Alligator mississippiensis: one gene and its partners. The protein of the gene in region 2 purifies or fractionates together with the protein of the main gene of each other region. This does not show direct contact. Links are inferred from orthologs where the notes say so. Each region holds a gene or a part of one and is shown on either strand. Other genes may lie near its edges.

Region 1 (7,506 bases), on a different chromosome or scaffold from region 2:
GCTACAGCGGAGATGAAGAGCATAGAGGAAGTTTAAAAGAAAACTCAAAACAACATCCTGAGTGCAGGGACAGGACCCTGTAGCCGGGAGCCTGCGGGTTTGAGTGCCAGCGGGAGCATTGGCACAGCTCAGTCGCAATCCCCACCTCTGAATAGCAGCAGAAAGGAAACCAATTCCTTCCCAGACCCATGTGGCAGCCCACAATGCCAATAGCCTGGGCAAAAGCACAGGCTGGGTCCACAGAGAAGCATCCCTTCCTCCCGAAATGGAGCTGTGGTGGGTGCGTGTGTTGGGAGGGGGGTGAATCAGGGAGGAGTTCCCTTCTGCAGCCTTCCTCTACATGTGGTGCATCTCTGCCCCTCTCTCCCGCCAGGCCAGGCTCAGCCACCTTCATTACATAAAAAGTGCATCCCCCTTTGGACGGCTCCGAACTGGCCTGGTGAAGTGGAATGGGTGTAAGTGCAATGGTTGAGGAACCGGGCTGTCCCGTACCCCGGACCTGCGCAGTATGTGTCCCCTGCCCACGCAACTGTCCCTCTAGGCCGTTCTGACGGCGGCGATTCCTCGGTGCCTGTCCCCCCGGGTCGTAGCTCCCGTAATGCCAACTCTCATGAAAAAAATCTCAAGACTCCTGTTTTCCAAGTCATATTAACTGTGACTCACGATCTCCTGATTAGAGAGAAAAAATCTCAGGGGTTTGTTTTCTTCTGGTCCGAGTAGAGAGCGCCAAGCTGGTAAGTCTATGGGGGGGAAAGAAAGGGGGGCAGATCAAGGACCCTTGCTCCCAAAACCACAGCCTCCCCATGCAACAGAGCCATGTGTGTATGTGTGTGTGTGTCCCTCACTCCCAAGCCACAGCCCCGCTGCTGCTTTCACTCCTGCCCTACAGCACCCCACATCCTGCCAAGGTGTACAGGGACACCCCCCCCCCCCCCGTTGGCTCCAAACCCCACCCAAACCTTCACAAATAACACCTCCCCCACATACACACACACACACACACTTCAAAACCAGCATCTCATGATTTACATTCCAAATCTCTTGATTTTTAAGAGTCTGTCTCTTGCTTTTTGACACTGGGGAGGTGGCAATACTGCAGCTCCCAGGAACACGGGGTTTCAGGAAAAGTAGGAAAGCCCCCACAGAAGTAGGGCAAACCGAGGGGAAAGACCGCAGCAAGTGTCAGGACAGCACGGGGGTTGCACGCGAGAGCGCTCGCTGCTCAGAACCACAGCAGCGCACGCCCTCAGAGGGAATCGCTGCACTCTCTGGTTCGAAAGAGGAGGAAAAGCCAACCGTGCAGTAGTTAACGTTGCTAGTGGGTGCGGGGGTGTTGCGTTACTGGTGCTTCCGGGAAAGACATGCCCACCGTGCAGCAAGAAGCAATACAACTAGTGTTTTTTGCAGTCACGCGGGTGGCAAGAACCATCCTAGGTTCATGAGCCACATCCGACGAGGCAGGATTTAGACCAAACTGCCCTTTATTTCACCCTGCTGAAAGCAAGTCTAATCTACACTATAAGTGAGCCCGCTCCCTGGGATGGAAGATATTTCATTAGCAGGTTGTGGGGGGTGGCGTGTGGTTCTTAGGTTTCATCTTGGCTGGAGGAACTTACCTCGGATAACCTGATAGCGCTGCAGGGCCTCACCCACTTACATATTTTTCCTCCCTTCCCCATGGGGGTAATGAGCCAGAGCTGGTAAAATTTTGGAAGAAAGGTAAGGGATTTTTTTTTCTTTTAAAGAAATAACAAAAGATTTCCACTCTTAATTAGGAAATGGATTAAAGCTGATGTCAAGTGTGCCTAATAATTACTAGGAATTTGATTGGGTTTGGGGGGGGGGTTGAATTTTTCCTAGCTAAAGTCTGCTGGGGAAAATAAAGTCTCATTTGAGTGTTGGGGGGTGAATTGGGGAGGGTCAAGGCAGCCATGTGAGCCAAAGAGGTTTGAAAGGCTGGTGATTCAGAAACTTTGCAGCTGGTTTGATGTGGATCCTTGGCAGCTGTGAGGGATTCAGTTTAGCACAGGCTGCCCTGCATAGCATGATTAAAGGGCTAATATCAGTGTGGGATACAAAGGTTGATGGGGGAGTGGGAAAGGGAAATGGCTGTGAAGATAAGGCTGGAGCTGGTTGCGTTAGGCTAGCTGGGAGGCATTGGCTGGGCTTTGTTTGGTTGCTTCGGCTCATGAGATTTAAGAGATTATAGGGGTGTTGTGTGGGGTGACAGTCTTGTCGATGCCCCATGTGAAGGGTCCGTGTCCCAGTCTTTGTAGGGACTCCCTTGCGGTCTCTGCTTGGTGGGGAGAAGCAGTCTGCTTTTGGCCCCTGTGTTTGCTTATCCCCCTGGAGAAGCGGAGCAGGGGAAGAGCGTGTGGGAGCTGGGTCCCAGGTGTGCGGGGGAGAGAGGTGTTTCCCGTGGGGGTGCAGAGATCCCAGGAAGGATGGAGCCGAGGCTGGGAAGAGCGGGGTCACTGCAGGACTGGAGTGAGGAGCGTCGGCAGAGCGGTGCGGGGGGCCTGGAGCAGGGATCAAAGGAGTGCAGTAGGTCAGGGTGGAAATATGTCGGCAGGGCTGCACGGAGGGGGAAGTCACAGGCAGCAGCTGTCTACTTCATGCCTGGCTCAAACTTCCCTTTCTCCCGTATCTCAGGTGGAAAAATCACCAGATATCTCACGCTCTGCTGCCTACAGCAAGCAAAGCTGTTCCACAAACCTGGAAAAATACCCATTTCTAATAGGTGCCCCCTCCCAAACTTGCTTTCTCCCTGGGGGCATCAGCAGCGCATCCCACCTGGAAGACAACACCAAGTCTCCTTAACACAGGGGTCAGGCTGGATGCTGTTTTGCCGCAGCCTCTGGTCACTGCTCTAATAGGAGGCACTGATCCGGCTCTTTTGCAAGGGAGAGGTGACTTGGGAGCAGGGATCTCTGCGCTCTGACGGGTGACCGAGGTCCCCCTGCACGGCGGAGAGAGGGGGGCTCTGTTACGTGGCTGTCCTGTGCGGTCACTTGCCTCCTATTAAACTCAGCAGGGGCCTGTGCCTCTGATTTATGAGCTGGCGGCTCGCAATGCAGCTCAGTATATAAATAGCAAGGGGGGGGGGGGTGCAGAAAGGGAGGGTATTCATGCCACGGATGGCATAAGGCCAGCCCCATCCTTGTGAATCCCTGCCTGAGAGCATGGGGGAGGCGGTTTCCATGACTTGTCCTCCCGTGGCCTTTGATTCCTGCTGTCCCAAACCTGGGTAGCATGTGGCAACGCCCTGGGTAATTACCACTGCTTCGAGCTAATTAGTCCAGCAACGCTCCTAGGCTAAAAGCTGCTTGGGGAGTAGCATCTCTGCTTGCCGCCGGCGGTCCAGCGATGACCGCTGGTTTGCACGACGGTTTCTACCCGTGTGTTGGCTCGGGACGAGGCCTTGCTATGGGGTCTGATATGACCCCCTCTCTGGAGGGTGCCTGGGTGGGGACGGGGTAATGCGCGTGGACGGGGAAGGAAGACTTGGCCTTTTTGGAGGAGCTCCTAGGAGCAGGTGGATGCCACCGGCGGAAGGTGCCCGGGGAAGCTCTGCGATCCCCATGGCCAGAGAGGTGAGACCCCGCGTCGTGCTGCTCCTGGGGCCGGGGTGCAGCGCTCCACCCTGGACTGGGGACGTTTTTAGGCGGGGGGAACTTGGCTTTGCATCTGTTTGGTTGCCGCTTTGTAGCGGAGAAGTGATGGCAGCCACGTGCTGGGCCATGGGGGTGGTCGCGGAGGGGCCGTGGGTGCCCGCCGAGGCTCTGCAGGCTGGAAGGTGCGTGTTGGGCCGGGCGTGGGGGGCCTGCAGCAGCCCTGCAGGGAGATGGGGCTGGGTCTTGTACGCATTAGGGGGAATTCATGAGTGAGTGGGTGGGTGGGGGGAAATCCCGGGTTGGGAAAACCAGCATGGGGAAAAATTAATGGGGCGGGGAAAATCACGCGTGGGGTAAGTGTGCTGCGGGTCGCGCGTGGGGCTGGGACAGCGCGCAGCCGTGCAGCCTCCCCTCCAGTAGGGGGCGCTCTGAGCAGGCAGAGCCGCGGCCCCTTTAAGACGCCGCAGCCCGCGGCCTATCGATCACGGGCAGGCGCGCGCGCTCATTGGCTGAGCCGCGCCAGGGTTGCCGCCCCTGCCTCCACACGGGGTCTCCCTCAGAAGGCCCACGGGCTGATCGCTACGGCTCAACCGCACTCGGCAACCCGTCCTGACTGACCCTTGCGCCTTAATGGCGATGGGAGCGTCGCCCTATTGGCCGGGCGGCCAATCCATCCAGCCTTATCCCACCTCCACGGCTTCCCTCTGGCTTCCTACTGGCTGCTCCGCGCGCCCGGCCGCTCCAACAGCGCCGCCGCTCCGTAGGGCGGCTCGCCTGCCGCTCAACCCCCTTCCCGCCTCTTTGCCCACTCGCCAGCCAACCAGCTTCCGAGTGGGCCAAGTCGCCGACCTCCCATTGGCTGTGGGCGCCGCCGTGGGGCTAGGCTGCGCCGCGGCTATATAGGGAGCAGCCGGTGCCGGAGCACGCCGTTGCGTGAGGTGCTTCTCGTCGCCCGGTGCTGAAGCGACGCCTCCCGCTGCCGGCCCCGCTCCGCTCGCAGGTCAGCGCCGCCGCCCGGCCCTGCTGCCGCCGGCGGTTGGTGCCCCGGGAGGGGGGGGAGGGGCGCGTTCCCCTCACGCGCGGGGGTGGGGCGGGCGGGGGGAGGGGTCGCGGCCCAGCTTTGTCCTCGCGCGTGGGGAGGGAGGGAGCGGGGGGGGGAGGGGCGCGAGTCCCGCTCCCACGTCCGCCTCTTCCCGCCCCAAGAATGAAAGAGATGGCGGCGGCGGCCGCGCACGAGGGGCCTTGGGCGGGGAAGAGCCGGGCCCGGCTCCGCACGAGGACACCCGCCTACTTACCGACCGGCACACCTACCTACCTCCCCCCGTCTAACTACCCACCCACCTGCCTGCACACCCACGTACCTATAGCGACAACCTCTCTGTGCAGCTATCCATATAATTAATCTATATACATATATATATATATATATTTTTTCCCCCCAAAAAAACCTTCCCTACAAACGGATTTCGGGCAGGAGCGGGTTGAACCAGACTCGCTGGGATCGCTGGTTCGAAACCTCCCTGGGTTGGTTTTTTTGTTTGTTTGTTGTGTCCCACCACCCAGCACGGTGGCAATTCTCCTTCGTGACGTCTCGCAAGCGTGCTGCCTTACAAAAGTTCGTGGCAAAACAGCCGTGGCTGCGGGGGGCTGGAAGGGCCCTCGCGAGATGGTGGGGTCCGGCCCCCTGCCCTAGGCGGGGACGAAGATGGGCAATAGGATGTCTGCGGGGGGGGGGGGGAATTAGGCAGGATCTGATGTCTTTTAAGCTTTTCTTTTGAGTGGTTACCGAACTATCTGCACGTGCACGTATCGGGGGGTCTTGCTCCATCTCCCACAAATTTAGACTTCGTAAACCACTTCCAAAATACCGCGCAGGACGTAAGCATGCATGGTAGATACCTTTTTTTCCCCCAAAGGAACTGAGCTCTGGTTGCTCAGCTGCATTTTTTTTTTTTTTTTTTGCTCCTTTTTTTCAAACGTGAATGTTGAAGTCATTTTTTTTTTTTTTCCTCATTTAATTTATACATTTCAAACCTGTGGAATTAAATATTAGCGTTCGTGGGTTACACGCCTGTCTCCTCTGTGTAAGCTTTGGGTAGGTGAGTTTACATTAGGACTGGATGTAACCAATACAGAAGCAGGAAGATGTAAGCCACGTAGGAGAACACGGGGCAGATGCGTTTCTGTCGGGATGAAGCTGGCTGCACAAATACAAACCGACTGGAAATCTCTTGTAGGTTCCTTCACATAAAGTGCATCGCAAGGAGTTTTGCGTGTGGATCTTGCTTTGCTCTAGGCAGCCCCAAAGACAGCTAACTCAACAGGAGCAAAAGGAGTATTTTGTGCAATGATCTGCCAGTTCTTGTTGCCTTCAGTGGCTGTTCAGGTGGAGATGGTCCAAGTTGGTAAAGCCCCAAAGTTGGACTTGCACATATTTAAAAAAATCTGTTAACACTTAACCTATAATGTCCACAGGCTATTTCTTAGTGGAAGTAAGTAAATGGCTTAAAGTCCTTTTAAGCTTTAAAAGGACTGTTTATAAAACACATACATGTTTTAAGAGATTTATGATGTCAGATCTTTGTCCCCTCTTGTGCTTCAGGAGCATTGTCCGGACTAAAGGGTAAACCAGGATCCTTTTAGAATTGCTGTTGCACTTCAGGTTGCTAGGCATATATAGCATGTGGAGCAGCTTTGGGGTGTAAATTGTGCTTGCCTGTGCTCTCTTGCACATTGTATTGTGCCATACTGTACATGGGAAAAGCAAGAAACTGAGGGCAGGTGCCTTGTATTGTAGCTACGAATTGTTCGAGGGCTTGGCTCATAACTTTAGTAACTTGGAATGGCTGAATTTGACACATGATGGCCCATGGGAAGAGTTAGGAAACATTTATGAAATTAACGGCTGAACTTTCAAATGCCATCACTCAAGCCTTTTTGAATGTTTTTCAGTGACATGGCAGGTGGGGAAGTTGAAGAGAAGTTGGGAAGCCAATTAAACTGAAATGGGTCTGGGATCTCATGACAAGAGATGCTGTCTTGTGAATATGCACATCAGTTTCTCAGCCTGCCATACTTAATCTTTGATTTAATTTAAGTAACGAGACTTTCTGTGGAGAAGCTGAACATGCGCACAATGTTTGAGATGCGTTTTAATTAATGTAACTGACTGAAATTCCAAATCATGTTAAAATATTAAGTATGACTTTTCCAACTAAAACTATTATGGATTCTTTGGCTGGAATTGTTTTCAACAGCCTTGACTAGGGCAGAAGAAAGGTCTGATATTAAATACAAATGATAGAATATCAGACATGCTCATTTCATACTCGACTGGCATTGAACATTATACTTGTCTAAGGTCTGAGACTTAATATAGTAAGGCTTGGACCAATTCCAGAAAGAAACAGCTAGTCAGTTATAGCTTTGAGGACTGATCCTATTTGAAGTATCAGGGTAAGGTACGCATTTTCTATGCTGTTAGGGAGTTAGGGGCTGATTTAAGAACTGGTTCAGTAGCCACTTGCTGCTTCTTTTGCAAGCAATTCCCTCATCTAGAAGAGAACTGCTAAAAAGTGTATAGACATTGGATTTCTTAACTTTAGCACTCATGCACAAAAAACTGTATTAACCTGGTATTATGCTTCTAGGGTTAACTGTCATGGTCAAAAACCCTTCACGTAGCACAAATACACGTGGTGTTATGTTCGCTAAGCTTCTGCAGGCACTGATCCAATACCAGAGATCAAAACTTTCTTATCCCTCGCTTAGGACCAGCAGTTGAGAAGACACTGCGTCCTAGGGTTTTACGTAACTTGGTATAGAAATGCCCTTGGCAGATTATAACTTTGCTGTGCCTGGAAACTGGAAATTATTTGACCCTCTCAATGAT
Region 2 (7,254 bases):
CTGCCAGGAGCAGTGGAGCAAGCTAGAAGAAGCCACTGTAACGTTTACCTCCTAGGACCTGGCTTAAGCAATCTCTGGGTTCAGCCTGGACAGCAGCACAGGCCCCTGCCTAGGGAGCAGCGCACCACGTGGCAGCTTTGATGCGGGATAAGACTGGTGGGACCCAGCTGATCCCGCTGCAGGCTAGATAACATCACAAGGAAGTTTTTCCCATGCTTTGCAGGACACAGAAATGGTGCGTCCACTTCTTTCCCTGAGACGCCAGCCCATACACTGAGCCTCTGTGACCAAGACCTTCCCTATGTCCTGCCCACACTGTTTTTTCTTCATTTTCATCCCATTGCTTTTAATTACATCCCCTTAAAACATCCCCTCCCCTGCGTGCTTTCACACCAAGGGAACACCTGCTCTTGCCTGGGCTGTGATACACCCTTGGGCAACTTCAGTGTCCTTCATAGTTGAGCATGGATTATTGCTGTCAGAGCAGAGCCCTGCGGGCCAGGGGAACCACCGGGCAGGGAGGTTCTGGGTACTGCCGCATCACCAGGGAGCGGGTGTATCTAGAGGAAACTGCACGGCATCAGTTTATACACACAATCCCCTCTCTGGAGGGATGAGATGCATGGGTCTGGCTGTAGCCACAGCCCTCAGCAGCGAAGGGAACCAGCAGGGAGCAGCCACAATGGGAAACTCAACTATGGCAAAATACCAGGCTTAATCCCCCAAGAAATCGCCCCAGTGGGCACCACAGACCCAACCCCTGTTCACAAGCTTCCCAGGCCGGTCTCCAAAGGCATGGTGTCACCTGCTGTTTAAAAGAACAGACCAGCCCAGAGATACAGAAGCTGCTCAGTATTAGGAGACAGCCTCAAACGTAACTACCTAGCTTCACAGTCTCTCTGGGCTCCCCCGCTACCCAGCACACACCAAACAACTGTACTGAGTGGTGAACGCTGGGATACGGTTTTACTACTGCAGAACCGGCACCAGAGAAATGTCCCATGGACTTCAACGCACGATCACAGCCCATTTGGGCCATGAAGTAGCAAACCCGAGACCAAACTACAGCTAGGAGTTCATAGAAGGAAAGCAACCTTTTCACATCCCAACATCCCACAGCCACAGAGAAGCGTTTTGGAAAAAAAAAAAAAAAATCAGAAAAACAACAGCTATAATTAATGAGGAAACAGGACATCTTCCCTACAGCACTTAACCCACTGAGTCACTAAGCCAGGGCTGGCAATGCTGCCAGGATTAAATCACTTTTCATTAGCAAACACCATCAGTGTGATCACTCCAGGCACCTTCCATCACACCCCCACCTCCTCATAGCCCCCTTCCTCCGCAAATCTTAAGGCATTTTCTAAACTTTTGCAAAATACCTGTGCCTGCTTCTCTCCCAGAGACCTGAGCAACAATACTGCAACCCCAAAGCCTACGCCAACCACGCAGTTCCTCCAGTACAAGATATCACCCACATGAATTCTTGCCTGTGCACTACAGAGATTTTATAGATGGTGAAACCGAAGTACAGAAATATAAATCAATTTTTATAGCCGCATAGCAACCAGGAGAAAGCTAATGCTCAGCATGCCACGTTACCCATAATCCCACTCTGCTTCAACAACACAGGATCTTTCTTCCTTCACCTGAAGTCGGGGATCCCTACGGCTGTGCTGATCCCAGCCCCAGTGTGAAACACCACGTTGGAAGAACTCCTTATCAGGTCGGCCAGCTCATGCACTTTCCTCTCCAGCTCCTCCGGAGGATCAAAGATCTGATGGAAAGAAATGGAGACAGAAATAAGTTTCCCACATGGCCCCAAGCGCAGGAAGAGACGGAGAACAAGATTACATTGCTGCTGATAGCTAAAGTGCATCAGCACTTAACAGGGTAGAAAGAGCATTATCTTAGAGAGGACACTTCTCCCCGCTCAGGACATCCAGATCTTCCTTTCCAATCTGCTTCAGAGAGGCAAGGAGCTGCTCTGGATTTCAGCAAGTAATTAACTGGCTGAGAAATACTTTGCCCTCTCACTGCTGCTCTCTTCAAAGCAGGTAACAATAGATACCCTCCCTCCTTGCCTCCGTTTTACAGGTGGGAAAACTGAGACTTTACTAAGTGACATGACTTGGCCACAGCAGAACCCGAAAAAGATCTCGGGGCCCCTGAGGCCCAGCCCTGCCCCTCTCAGGCAGCTAATAAATGCCGCCGGCCTGCAGGAAGGATGGCGCGAGACACAGGCCAAGCCTCCAGACCAAAGCCCAATGCTCGCTGCCCGCGGGCGACGCTGCCGAGCAACACGTCCAAGGCAACGTTAGTCTCCATGGGGCTGGACGGACACCAGCCGTTCCCTGGGGTGACAGGCCCTGCTCCACCGAAGGGGACAGACGTCGCGGTGCAGACCCCCTGCCCGCCGGGCTGACAACCTGATGGCACGTGGCCGCTGGTCCCCAACCCACGCCTGCCATGTTGCGTGTGGGGGACACACACACCCCAGCTACAGGTGAGCGCCGGCCCCTGCCCAGGCAGGAAGCAGAGCCCAGGCCTCCCCAATTCCTGGGGCAAGGAGCGCTCTGCAGCGCCCGGGCCGGGGGCACCCCCGCGGCAGGCTGGGCTAGCGGGGCTTGCACCCTGGCACCCCACTGCCCCCCCGGCGCCTGCCAGAGTGGGGGCGCGGGGAGCACAGGTGCCTTGTCCCCTGGGCAGGGGATGGAGGGGGCCAAACCCCAGGAGGGGGTGATGGGGAGCGGGACTAGACCCAAGGGGGCGGGGCCAGAGCCCAGAAGGTGGGGTGGGGGCGGGGCCAGGCCCTAGGATGGGGGGGAAGGGCGGTGGGGGAGGGGAGGGGATGGGGCAGCAGCCCCCCCCAGGGGCTGAAGGTGGGGGAGGGGCGAGGGGTGCTGCACCGCCGGCCACTCACCTCGGGGAGGCCGCACTTGCCCTTGTCCGAGTAGGGGGACAGCCCGGCCGCGTAATTCACCGACATGGCCCCGCAGCCGCCGCCCGCCTCCGCGCCGCTGTCAATAAAGTTCTCATTGTTGTCAATTCCTGCCGGCCGGGCGGAAGCGCGCCGGGCGTCGCGAAGCCGCCGTGCCTCACTCCGCATGCGCACGAGCCCCGGGCGGTGGTGGCGGTGCCGCCATGTTGGTTCCTGGCAGAAAGGTCTCTGCCCGTCCTTGGCAGAGCTGGGGCAGGCGCCTGGACCTGGCAGGGGGAGAGATGTGCCTGGCTCTGGGGGAGGACAGCGGGTCCTCCTTGCAGCAGCACTGCAGGACCTGCTGCTCTGACAGGGGATCCCCCCCATCCCTGGACTCCAGGAGCTGGCGCTTAAAGAAATACCACGTATCCCACAGTTGTCAGGGAGCAGAGCCAGGCTGCCTAAGGGGCGCAGCAGGTGCCCTGTAGCTTCTCCAGGCCTGTTGATTGTGAAAGTTGGGAGCCCCGTTAGAAAGGGAGAGCGCAACAGCTGACCGCTTGGGACGACTGAAAAGAAAACAGGGAAGGGAGCGCGGTCACGGGTGCAAAACAAGGGATCCAAGGGGACACGGAGCAGAGCGCGCCCACTAGCGCCCGCTGCCCCCTGAATGAGTCGGGGGAGCCTGCGGGCACCCGCCAGTGACACTGCCTGGAGAAGTGAGAGGACAGCCCCACATCACCAGGCTCCCTGAGCCTGAGCCTCTGTCCTGGTCTGGCAGATGGCCAGCTTGGCCGGAGGCTGACTGGGAGGTCCTGGGACTTGGTGGGGCCACGGATGGGCTGCGGTGCCTGGTGCTTTCCTGCTTGGGGAACACCCTATGTGCAGCCTCACCTGTCCTAAAGTGGAAGCCCTGCGATGCCTAAGCAGGGGGCAAGGACAAAGCCGACCCAATGGTACCTTTCAGTACTGGATTTTGCAAGCCATTTCCAGCACTCCTCAGCAGGCCTCCTGCCACTGCGAAGTCTAGGCTTGTGCATTGTTCTTTCTCTCCCTTCATAGTCTTTGCAAGATATTTTACAGTCCACTGTTTGGCTGGGAGCATGTCTACTTGCTCAAATACTCTGTGCCCAGCCTGCTATAGATGCTAGAGAAAAAAAATCCATTAATTAGCAAGCACAGGTCCTGATCTGCTGAGCTCCGGGTGGGTTAAAGGTTCCAGTCATCTCGGCACAGAAAAGAGGATTGTGCGATCCCTGGACCTGGTGCTCAATGTGCCTGGTTTTCCCACCTCAGTTCCTGACCAACCAAGTGACCTTGAGGCAGTCGCTTCCCATGTCTGTGACTCTCTGTTCCTATCTGTAATGTGGAAAAAAACAATACCTACCTCCCAGGGATTGTGGGAGGGTCCCTCAGCTCTAGCAAAGCCTTAGAGAAAAGAAAAGGAATCACGGGGCAACATCTTGTCATGTTTGCACGCTGAAGATCAAGGGAAACCTTTAGCTCTACAAACCAAGTCCCCAGGCTGCTCCATGGGGGATGTCCCTGCGAGGTGTGGAGCCTGTTGCAGGATCAGGGCCTAGAGGCCATCCATGAACAGGACCCTCCATTCCCTTGCTTGTTGCTGCTGCTTTCCAGGTTCTTTAACGGTATGGTATGCATGGAGAATAATTACCCTGGCTTCCCAGAGCTAGTGGGGAGCCTGAGGGGTATGGAGGGCCTGATGATGAGAAGTGCTCTGCACCTGTGACATCTGGGCTACTCAGGACTATGGAGATGCTCAGAGATGGAGACACAGCTCCAGAGTAATGTAGTGCCCTGGACACCGTGCAGCGCTGAGCTGCAGCCCGCTGTAGCAAGGTAATCGTACCTGTAGCAGGTAAGTAACCCAATTCCCAGTGCAGCGATGTCCCTCCCCTGGTTTCTCCTCATTCGCAGTGACACAGCCTCACCCGGGCTGGGCCACCTCTGATACGGTGAGCTCCCATCAATCAAGACAGAAGTAAGGAGACTCTTCAGAGTTTGTTCTGCCCTTGGCACTGAACGTGTAACAGAGGAGTGAGAACCTGCCCGAGCTGCACCTGACGGTATCAACAAGGTAGGGATGGGGCTTGGAGGGAAGATGCGAGACTGGCCCAAAGTCCGGTAGCCCTGGAGCTGCAGGTTTCACACATCTGCGATCAGGACTGAGGGACTCTTGCTGCAGCTGAACAAGTCAGGGCTAATATATGAAGTCATTCATTGCTCTGTACAAGTGCAGGGACTCCCAGGGGCTCTGACATCCTGGGAGACTGCTCCAGAGCCAATGCAAACACCTAGATTGGCAAGGAGGCAGGTCCCTAGGCAAAAGTAATGGCCCTGACAGCTGACAGCAATGCCAACGGGCTGGGTTCCTGTCCGGTGCTAGCATGGTACAGCACGGCATAGAGGGCTGTGCAGCAGGGCAGGGCTGGGGGGGGGTTAGACGAGAGGATGGAGGATGAGCACTCCTGGTTTCTGTCTCTTTGCCATGGGGGACCCTTAATTTGCCTGTGCCTCAGGCCCTGGGGAGCCCACACTGAAGTCATGTGGAGGCATATGCCTCCTCGGGAGACCCAGCCCTCCGGCGTTCTCAAGCAGCGGGGCAGGAAGAGCCTGCGGGTGGAGAAGGGGTGCATGCATTTGAAATAAACAGCTGCCCAAAAGACTGGTACCTTTGGGGGGGCTGTCGAGCTACCTTGAGGCTGGAGGGTGGGGGCATGGAGGCCTGCTGGCAGCAAACACAAGGCTACAGGGCTAGACCGGGGGGGGGCCAATACTCCTCAAAGGGGTCCAGGGAGGAATTTTGCCCAGAGGCACGAGGTGACAAGGGAGCAGCCCCCCACACACCCATCCAGCCTCCGCCTCTTCCTCGGGGCGTTGTGGACACGAGGGTCAGGAATTCGTGGGCAGGGAGGTCTTGGGCGTTGGATGGGGTCTGCAGAGGTGGAGGCTGCAGAAGTAAGGCCAACCAGACTGCCAGCCTCTCCCCTTCCCACAGAGGCACAGGCAGGAAGCGCCCTGTCTCGGGACTCTGCGCTCTCTCCCGGGCACATGAGCACACCCAATAGCCAGGGCAAATGCCACAGACTCCACCTGGCCCCTCCATCTATATTCCAGTTGTGGCATCACCAGCCTCTAGCACCCCTGTTGTGGTGGGGGCTGTGTTAGCACAGGCACAGAGAGGAGGTCTCCTCCCTCCATGGCTGGGACACGCCTGGGCACCAAGGTGAGCTCCCAGGTGCTGAGGAGGTGCTGGTCAGAGACCGGCAGCTTGGAGGGACCTTTAACATGAGTTATCCTGCAGGGTCAGGGCCAAAATGAAGAGTCAGCCAAAATTTTTGCCTGGGGCTGAGTGTCCTGTCTGTACCTACAGAGCCTTGAGCCCCTACAGTGCCCATCGTCCATGCCCTGCAGCCGGCTGGTGGAGGGCCGTGGTCTGATGCCACATGTAATGCCATTCCAGTCCTCTCCCCTCTCGAACATGGTGAGCACCCCGAATCAGGACCCTCAGGGCAGGAGGCACAGGAAGATATTGAGACTGATTGTGAGACTGCCGATGAAGGGCCAGAGTTTTGCTAGGATCTTACAGCTGCTTTGTATCCCCCGTTTAGATCTACCCCCTGCAGCCCAGAGCACGGGGACAAAGCCACCATGAAGAGCCTGCGGGCCAGGTTTAAGAAGAGTGAAGTGAGTATCTGAGGGCGGTCGGTCGGGGGCACCATGATGAACCCATGAACCAGTGCTCGGCTGCTGGAGTGGGTGTTTTTTTCCACTGACAAGTGAGAGAGAGGTCCCGAGTGCTTGTGCTCATTTAAAATCCCATGGTGCCTGTTCCAAGTACGGGAACTGCTCCTCCAACACCCCCTCTCCTCCCCTCCCACAGGCAGATAATGCAATGGCTAGCCCCTAACACTTCCCCCTCCATCCCCTATGAGTCACTGGGAGATTCCTGCACGCCATCAGCTGGGAAGGGCTTGAAGGAGGAAACCCCCCCCGAAACGTTTCCAGGGTGGGGGAGTTGTAATGAAGTTTGACTACTCCAGGCATCGGCAGCTGGTTCGTCTTGCAGTCGCCAGGCTCCATAGCAGCCTCGGCAATCCCTTGTCTTCTGCCTTTAGGCCACTGCCCCTTCCTGTCACCTTGGGGTGCATGTACCTGTTACCGCTCTGGCTGCTCCAAGCATTCCTCCCTCAAGTTCCTCCCTCGCTTCTCTCTCCTGGAAGATCCTCTCCCATCTCCCTGCCTCTGTGAAGCAGCAGACCCTCCTGGCCCCTTCCCCAGCAGGCAGAGCAGGGCTTTCTGGGGAGAGGCTGCTG
Region 3 (7,338 bases), on a different chromosome or scaffold from region 2:
TACGAATGCATTCTAGTATAAAGAAGAAAGCACCAGTTATAATTATTCCTACAAAGAATCATAGAAAGTAGGGCTGGAAGGGATGTCAAGAGGTCATCTAGTCCAGCCTCCTGCTCAACACAGGATCATCCCCATCCAAACCATCCCATACAACTGCAGGTCTACTAACCTATTCCCAAAACTACACAGATTAACCCTGTCACACAAAACTACAAGGCACATTGTCCCAAAACCCCAAAAGGAACACACTGGGAGAAAAAAATCCAGCTGTCACATGCTTGTACTTTGTTCTTGGTACTGAGCACCGGTGGCTTTATAGAGGACCTTCTCAAACTTTCTACTCCCCAACTGCATGACTACAATGAGCACAGCACAGCATGCGTCTGTTATGCTGCTTCTCTGGGCATTATCTGAATGGATTTCTAACCCACCTGCCTCCTTTCAGACCTGACAAGCAAGACTGGGCAAGTAATACTTTAACTCAGAGGTTCCCAATCTGTGGTACGCATACCACCAGTGGTGCGCAGACAACCTGTCAGTGTCAAGGAAAATAAAAGGAGTGTTGTAAAATATATGCTGAGCCAGTGACAGTCGGTCTCAGATGAGAAATGAGAAAAGCGCAACTCAAATCTTTGAGAAGGGAGAGTTTCAGGTCTTGTTTGTGGTGGAGAGCTGACGCTCCATAGCAGGGAATCATGCAACACAGTATCTATCCCCAGACAGAAGACGTACTCGCTCATCAGCCCTCATGGTGCAAACACTTCAGATCCTGTGTGCGCAGATTATTTGCTGGATTGGGGGTTATAGCTTGTATAGGAAACAAAGAATCTCTTTTACCTTTTTCCTGCGTTCGGAATTTGGGTCGTCGATATTGTGAAAGCTATTCTCATCAATTTCTCCCAGCCAAACGTGTTCGCCAATCCCAACCAAACAGTTTGGGTTTCCTCTGCAGTTTCTTCTACAAAAAACCAAACACACTCATGAAAACAAAGACCGCTGGTTCAGATCATGCGAAAACAAAAACAAACCCCCCAAACCAGGAAGCAACAGCAAACTGTATTATTTTAATTAGCAAAACACAGGAAAACAGAACACAGGACTAAAAACATGCAGGCGTAACTTGAGAGTCTTTTTGTTGGGAGCAAACGCTTTTTACCCTCTAGCCTATAGGTTTGGTCTACTGTTGAGTAGGCTGGAGGCAGCATTTAGAGCTGTTTACCTCTGCACGCTTCATCAACCACAGGTATGTCACTAGAGAGGAGTAGAAACCCTGCTTTCATCACTAAAAAAAAAATTAAAAATGTTCATTTTAACAAATGACCTTATGTTTTTTAAAGGGATTTCTACAGCGTAAGCCCCCTGCATGTCTGACAGAAATATACTGAAGCTGGATGTTGAACCGGTTCGATTCCCAGAGGCAGGCTTTCATCACAAGGGAAAGGTTCATTTAGTTTTACAAACAACTTATGCTTTTAAACGGATGTCTACGGAGAGCACCCCTACCTGTCTGACATGGGAGTAAGTTAAGCTGGATCTTGAACAGGATCAATTCTCAGAGGCAGCCTTTCACCACGTAAGGAACAGTCGCTTTATTTTAAGAGGATTTCTATCGGTAGCACCCCTCGTAGGGGTACTGACACCGGATCTTGAACCGGTTCAATTCCTAGAGGCAGCTTTAATCCCAACAGAAATTTTCATTTTGTTTTACAAACCGTGTCAGTTTTTAAAGGGATTTCTACAGCAAACGTCCCTTGCAGGTCTGGCAGAAACGGACGGAGGCTGGATCCTGAACCGGTTCGATTCCCAGGGGCAATTTTCATCGCAGGAGAAACTTTTGTTCCGTCTTATAAACATTACGAGTTTTAAAAGAGGATTTCTACAGACGGCATCCCCCACGTGACGGGCAGAAACGTATTGCAGCTGGATCGCGAACCGGTTCGATTCCCAGAGGCAGCCTTTCGTCACAAGGGAAAGTTTCATTTTGTTTTACAAACCACGCGAGTGTTTCAGGGATTTCTACAGCGAAACAGACGGAGGCTCGATCCCCAGAGGCAGACTTGCCACAAAGGCGGTGCGTTTTTAGAGGGGTTTCTGCAGACAGCACCCCCATCTCCCCGGCAGAAACAACCGCGGCTGGATCTTGAACCAAGTCGATCCCCAGACGCGGCTTTCGCCCCAGGAGAAACGTCCGTCCCGTCTTACAAACCAGGCGCGAGCCTGAAAAAGGATTTGTGTCGCCAGCGCCGCGGCAGGAACGTCCCGACGCCGGATCTCGAACCGGCTTTCGGCGAGCGAGACGTTTCCGATTCGTTTCACGCGCCGGGACTGCTTCCGCGATGGGCGCGAACGGACCGCGGCCGGTTCGATTCCCGCGGGCCGGGCCGCCCGTCCTCGCGGGGGGAGCGGGTGTCTCGTCTCCTCGACGCTGCGAAGGGGATTTCCACAGGCAACGCCGCCGTGTCCGGCCGGACCAGACGGAGGCCGGCTCCTGACCCGGCTCGGGTCCCGGCGGCAGCTTTCGTCGCAGGAGAAACTTCAGGCAAGTTTAAAAAGCGATTTCTACGCGCAGCGACCCGATTCGACTCCCGGAGGCAGCGCGTCCCCCCAAAAGGTGGGTTTTTGGGGGTTTTTTAAATGGATTTCTACAGAAACACCCCGACGCCGGCCGCGAGCCGCTCCGCTCACCACAGGGGCACTTTTGCTCCGTGTTGACAAACGAGGGAAGTTTTAAAAGGGATTTAAACATTTTAGCGGGATATAAACAGCCCTCCCCACCCCCCTCGCACACGTCGCACCCCCTGCGGACACGGCGCGCAGCCCCCCGGGCCGGGCCCGCACCTGCAGACGCCACGGCGGCAGGGCTCCAGGCCGATGCGGTAGGCCGCCTCCACGTGCTCCTGCGCCACCTCCTCGGGCGGCACCGTCTCGGTCCAGCGCCAGGCCGCCTTCTCCAGCTGCAGCCGCGGCGCCATGGCGGGCCCGGGCCTGCTCGCCCACTGCGCCTGCGCCCTCGCGGGCGGCGCCGTCGGCGCCTGACGTCAGCGCGCCGCGCCGCGGTGCGCGGGGTGTGACGCACGTAGCGCGCGCCGCCACGCAGGGTGGAGGGGCGGGGCTGAGTGAGGCACCGCCCTCCTCCTCCTCCTCCTCCCCCCTCCCGCTCGGGAGGCGAAGGGGCGGGGCCACCACCTATATAAAGGGGCAGAGGGGGGCGGGGCTTGCTGAGCCTAGTGAGGGGGTTCTTGTGGGGGGTCTGGGCTGTGCCCCCTGGGCTCCCCGTGCAAACCTCTGACCCCTGGCACGGCAGAGCCTTTGAGGGGCTCTGACCCAGTCCAAGGGTCGTGGCCCCCCCGCGGTCCCCCCACACAAGCGTGGCCTCGGGGGCCACGGCAAAGCCACAGCCGCCATCCTCGTGCCCCACCAACGGGCCGTGGCACCGGTCCCTCGCCGCGCGGCGGCACCTGCCCCACTGCCACGGGATGCCCCGTGCGCCCATCCGGTGTCTCTAGTCGAGCCCCCGCTGCCCGCGTGACGGGGTTGGTGCCAGGGGCCGCAACCCCTGTCAGTGCCGCGGGGGCGAAGCGACGCGAGCAATGGCAGGGAGCTCTTTTGCACGCGCACCCACACGTGCACACTTTAGATGAAGCACAACTCTTGGGACAGATCACTTCCCACTCCCGCCTCCATAAGTAGAGCCAAGGTTTGTCTGTTATGCGCTGAGCTGATCGAAGCCACGCAGACATTTTGCCGGTGTCGAGGCGCTTTGCGAGTTTTGGCTGGTACGAAAGACACCTCCCCGCCCTTTGTATTTGCACCAGAGACGTCAGTGTGGCGTGCTTTATGAGCACATCTCGGACTGCCGTTGAACGAGCTGACCCGCGTGCAGACAGCGCTGTGACACCATACGCGCGTCGCTACAGGGCGGCTGCTTTAAACCAAGGTGTGCTTGCTACGGACGTGCAAAATCTCCAGCGTGTTAAAATCAACGCGCTGTTTCGAGTTTTAAGCGTACAGCTTTCTGATCTCCGTCGTGTATCAGGATTTGCCGTTCATTCTGCATTGCGTGCGCACAGCGATGCAGCGTCTGTTTTAGTCACCCTGCTATTGATCCATAATTTTAAAAACTGCCTCCAGTTTGGTTATTTCTTAGGCGCATTCTGCAAGAAGACTTCAGGGAGCTGCATTAGGCCATAATAAATAAAAATTACCCATTAAAAATGGTCTTTTCCGGTGCTGCTCTGTGGTTAATTGTCCTAGATCATCGAAGTGGATCTCAGGGCAGTTTGAACTGGCTCAGATTGCTGTATCTGAAGACTCCCCTGGGTGACACGTCGGTAATGTTTTGCAATGACTGAGTTTGAGGAAAAGATGCGGGTGTCTAGCCCGAGTTGGTAGGGCAGGGCTTTTGCTTCTGGCCCAGGAAGCAAAGGGCTTCACAACACATTCCTTGGAGAGAGCGAGCGCTAGGCAAGGATTGCTTTTTAACCTGTCTGTCGGAGCAGGCTCTGGAACCAGATGCCTTTACAACAGAGGTGGTAAAGGCAAGTTGCCAAGTCTGGATTTGCAAGAAAGAAGCAATTACTTGTCCAAAGAAGATGTCAGCCTGGAAAGCTTATTTCAACAAAAACTGGAAGCCAGCAAATTGACTGTAGCATCCATAAATGTCATTCTTAGAAGGCCTGACTATGTTAGTCACCTGCTGAGCCATAGCCAAACATGACTACCAAGGGATACGCAGAGAAAATTCAAGCTATTTAGCCCAGGGACATTATCATCTCATGTGAGGCACTGGGTGTGTGATCCACCAGGTCACTCGTTTCATGTTTACCCACGTTTAACCATTTGGGTTTTTAACACACATTGATTTAAATTGTTTTTTCCGTGCCGAGGTATGTTGTTTTTCAAATTAAAGTCGGTGCCCCCCGCCCCAGTTAAAACAACCCAGATCTTTGCTCTTTTTGGTAGGTGTTTGGAGATAAAAAACATTCTCCATTATGCCAGCTGGGCACACAGCTCGGACGTCCCAGAGACAGCAAGTTGTTGCATTCGAGATTAGAAAGAAATGACTGGAGCCAAGTGTCTGGTGGCTATCAGGTGCAGGGTCCATGCTAGCATATGCATGCTGTTTTCCAGTGAACCATCGTCCCAATTCAGGGGAGCTTTAACTCAGTCTGGAGCACTCACAGGCTATTTCAAAGTCATCCTCCGGTGGGGAATTTGTGCCCTAATTATTGCGCAGACTGCTACTGGAAGAAGGGAGGCGAATGGGCCCAAGCAATGGAGGGGGGAGAAGAGGAGGGGAAAGTGGGATGAGGCAGCAAAGACATGGTCATGCCAAAAGGTCATCCCAGACCGAACAACCTGTGGTTGAGACGTGCTCCGTTCTGTGGCCAGCACCCCACATGGCTGGCATCGCAGCTGCCTTTCCCTCTCCATCCTGCATCCGTAGGGGAAGCCTCTGGCACCCTTTTGGAGCAGGGTTTGAACTCATGCCTCTGCAGCTTTGGCAAGATGCCTTAACAGCTCTGCCAATGCAGCCCGGCGAAGAGATGTGCAGGGGCCAAAACCTGTGACAGCAGCAAATGGCTCGCCTGCTGCAAAGCGGTCTCTCCCCCGTCTCGGCAGCCACTCCGATGGACACAAACCCCTCGTGTTTCTTGACTTCCCGTCCTCTGCTTTGTATTCAGCCCGGTGCTTTGGCGTGTGCTGGCCAGGTGCCTTAGGAGCTTGCTGCATGGGGGACTGCAGTGGTTTTCATCCGTTCCCAATCAAACCCAACCCTCTCGTTGTTGGCCTGGAGCTCACAGTGCTTGGCCTCGTGCCTCTCTGGGTTAAAGCTCTGGTACTTGTCTGCCCCGCAGCTGTGCCCTCCATACCTCCTCCTCGCTGCCCGGATCTGGGCCGTGCCGGGATGCTGTCACTAGCCTTTTAGCCTTGTCGTGGATGCAAGTCCTGGGCAGCACATTGCATTGTCCTCCCCCCCCCAACCCCTTCTTCCATTGCTCCATCAAACTCCTGGAGTTTCCTTGGCAACCCCCTAACACAAATCCTGACCGTAAAAAAGCAGGATGAAGCAAGGACAAAGGGCAAGCTCTGGGAGTCCTTGTGCCCAGACAGCAGCAAGAAAAAAAAGGCCTCTTCCCTTTAATCAACACCCAGGGCTGCTGCCTTTTGCTGTCCCCTCTGTTCCCATGGCAGGCCACGCTAAAGGAGCCCCCAGCCTGGTTTGCTCACGGGAAGCCGGGAGGCCGCCGCGCTCCTCAGTCTCCCAGCTGTTGCCATCCCAGACGGCGCGTCCTGCTCTTGCTCCGGACTTCGGGATCTGCGCCGGTGGAAAGCGATGGCGAAGAGCAGCCCGAGGCACTGCTTGCGCCTGCTGTCCGGGTGGCTGGTGCTGTTCAGCTGTGCGGTGGCGGAGGTCTCATCCATCGAGACAGGTACCGCGGGCTTTCCAGGACGCTTCCTTTGCTCTCTGCGTGGGGGCTAGAGTTCAAAACCTGTAGGTTGTTTCCACCAGAGGTTTCCTGGACTTTGAGGGTACTTTGAGGGTATTTTTCCAGCACTCTTCATTCATACGGGTGTCTAAAGAGGGTGAATAGGATATGGACTGAATGGAGAAGCTACTGCTTTGCTGCACCAAAAGGAGCATGCTTCACACGAGCAAAGAGGAGACCACATAGCTATGGGTGGCAGTGGTCATACGTACCGGCCTCGCTGTGTGCCAGCAGTGGTTTTCCAGCTCAGGATTTGCTCTAGGCCCATGCTTTTCTGCTTGTGCCTTCTCTGCCCCCAAATGCATACAAGTGAAACCAAGGCTCAGGGGGAGTGTGATAGTGGGGGGCTCATGGGGGGCATTGGTCCATCAGCTCCCGTGCTGAGGCTGTTGCAATGGCCGAGATGGGGGGAAATAAAAGACAGGTGACTCTGATCTTTGTTCCTGCACAAAGCCAGAAGGCAGGGCCAGGCTGGGTCTGTCCCAGCACTGGATGGTGACCCCCGTGGGCTCTTCCTCCACAGTGAGCCTGGTGGATTTCTGCGGCCAGACGCTCCAGGACAACGGCATGATTGTCACCTCTCACCGGGACTCGCGGCGCTATTACTTCGTGGCTGTGGGCACCGACTGCCACCTGGTCATGCAGGCCGCGGCCCCCCGCGACAAGGTCCAGTTCCAGTTCCGGTTCTTCCTGGTGTACAGCCTGCTGCGCCTGCCCCTGCCCGGCGGCCCTGCACCCAGCACCACCGCTACCCTGCCACCCCTGGGCAGCCCCAGGCCACCGCAGACCCCGTCGGGGGGCGACCGGGAGCCGCCCGACCCCTGCCACGCCGGCTCCTACGTGCAGT

What was found.
Region 1: the proteins of SIRT6 (region 2) and G3BP1 purify together in Homo sapiens (affinity purification with mass spectrometry; 3 studies listed by BioGRID and IntAct, with this or other methods). This does not show direct contact. The link is inferred for Alligator mississippiensis from reciprocal best matches to the Homo sapiens genes SIRT6 and G3BP1.
Region 3: the proteins of SIRT6 (region 2) and USP48 purify together in Homo sapiens (affinity purification with mass spectrometry; 3 studies listed by BioGRID, with this or other methods). This does not show direct contact. The link is inferred for Alligator mississippiensis from reciprocal best matches to the Homo sapiens genes SIRT6 and USP48.

Annotation. Positions count from the first base shown.
Region 1 is NC_081832.1:75,769,767-75,777,272, forward strand, and holds the start of G3BP1 (ras GTPase-activating protein-binding protein 1), read left to right. Parts: upstream 1-4,506; 5' UTR 4,507-4,614; intron 4,615-7,506. UniProt on the Homo sapiens protein: Protein involved in various processes, such as stress granule formation and innate immunity. Plays an essential role in stress granule formation.
Region 2 is NC_081839.1:5,436,078-5,443,331, reverse strand, and holds the start of SIRT6 (NAD-dependent protein deacylase sirtuin-6), read right to left. Parts: upstream 3,042-7,254; 5' UTR 2,990-3,041; coding exon 2,924-2,989; intron 1,778-2,923; coding exon 1,650-1,777; intron 1-1,649. UniProt on the Homo sapiens protein: NAD-dependent protein deacetylase, deacylase and mono-ADP-ribosyltransferase that plays an essential role in DNA damage repair, telomere maintenance, metabolic homeostasis, inflammation, tumorigenesis and aging.
Region 3 is NC_081836.1:2,276,450-2,283,787, reverse strand, and holds the start of USP48 (ubiquitin carboxyl-terminal hydrolase 48), read right to left. Parts: upstream 3,012-7,338; 5' UTR 2,973-3,011; coding exon 2,839-2,972; intron 959-2,838; coding exon 838-958; intron 13-837; coding exon 1-12. Other genes in the region: LDLRAD2 (low-density lipoprotein receptor class A domain-containing protein 2), read left to right, coding at 6,338-6,434, 7,015-7,338.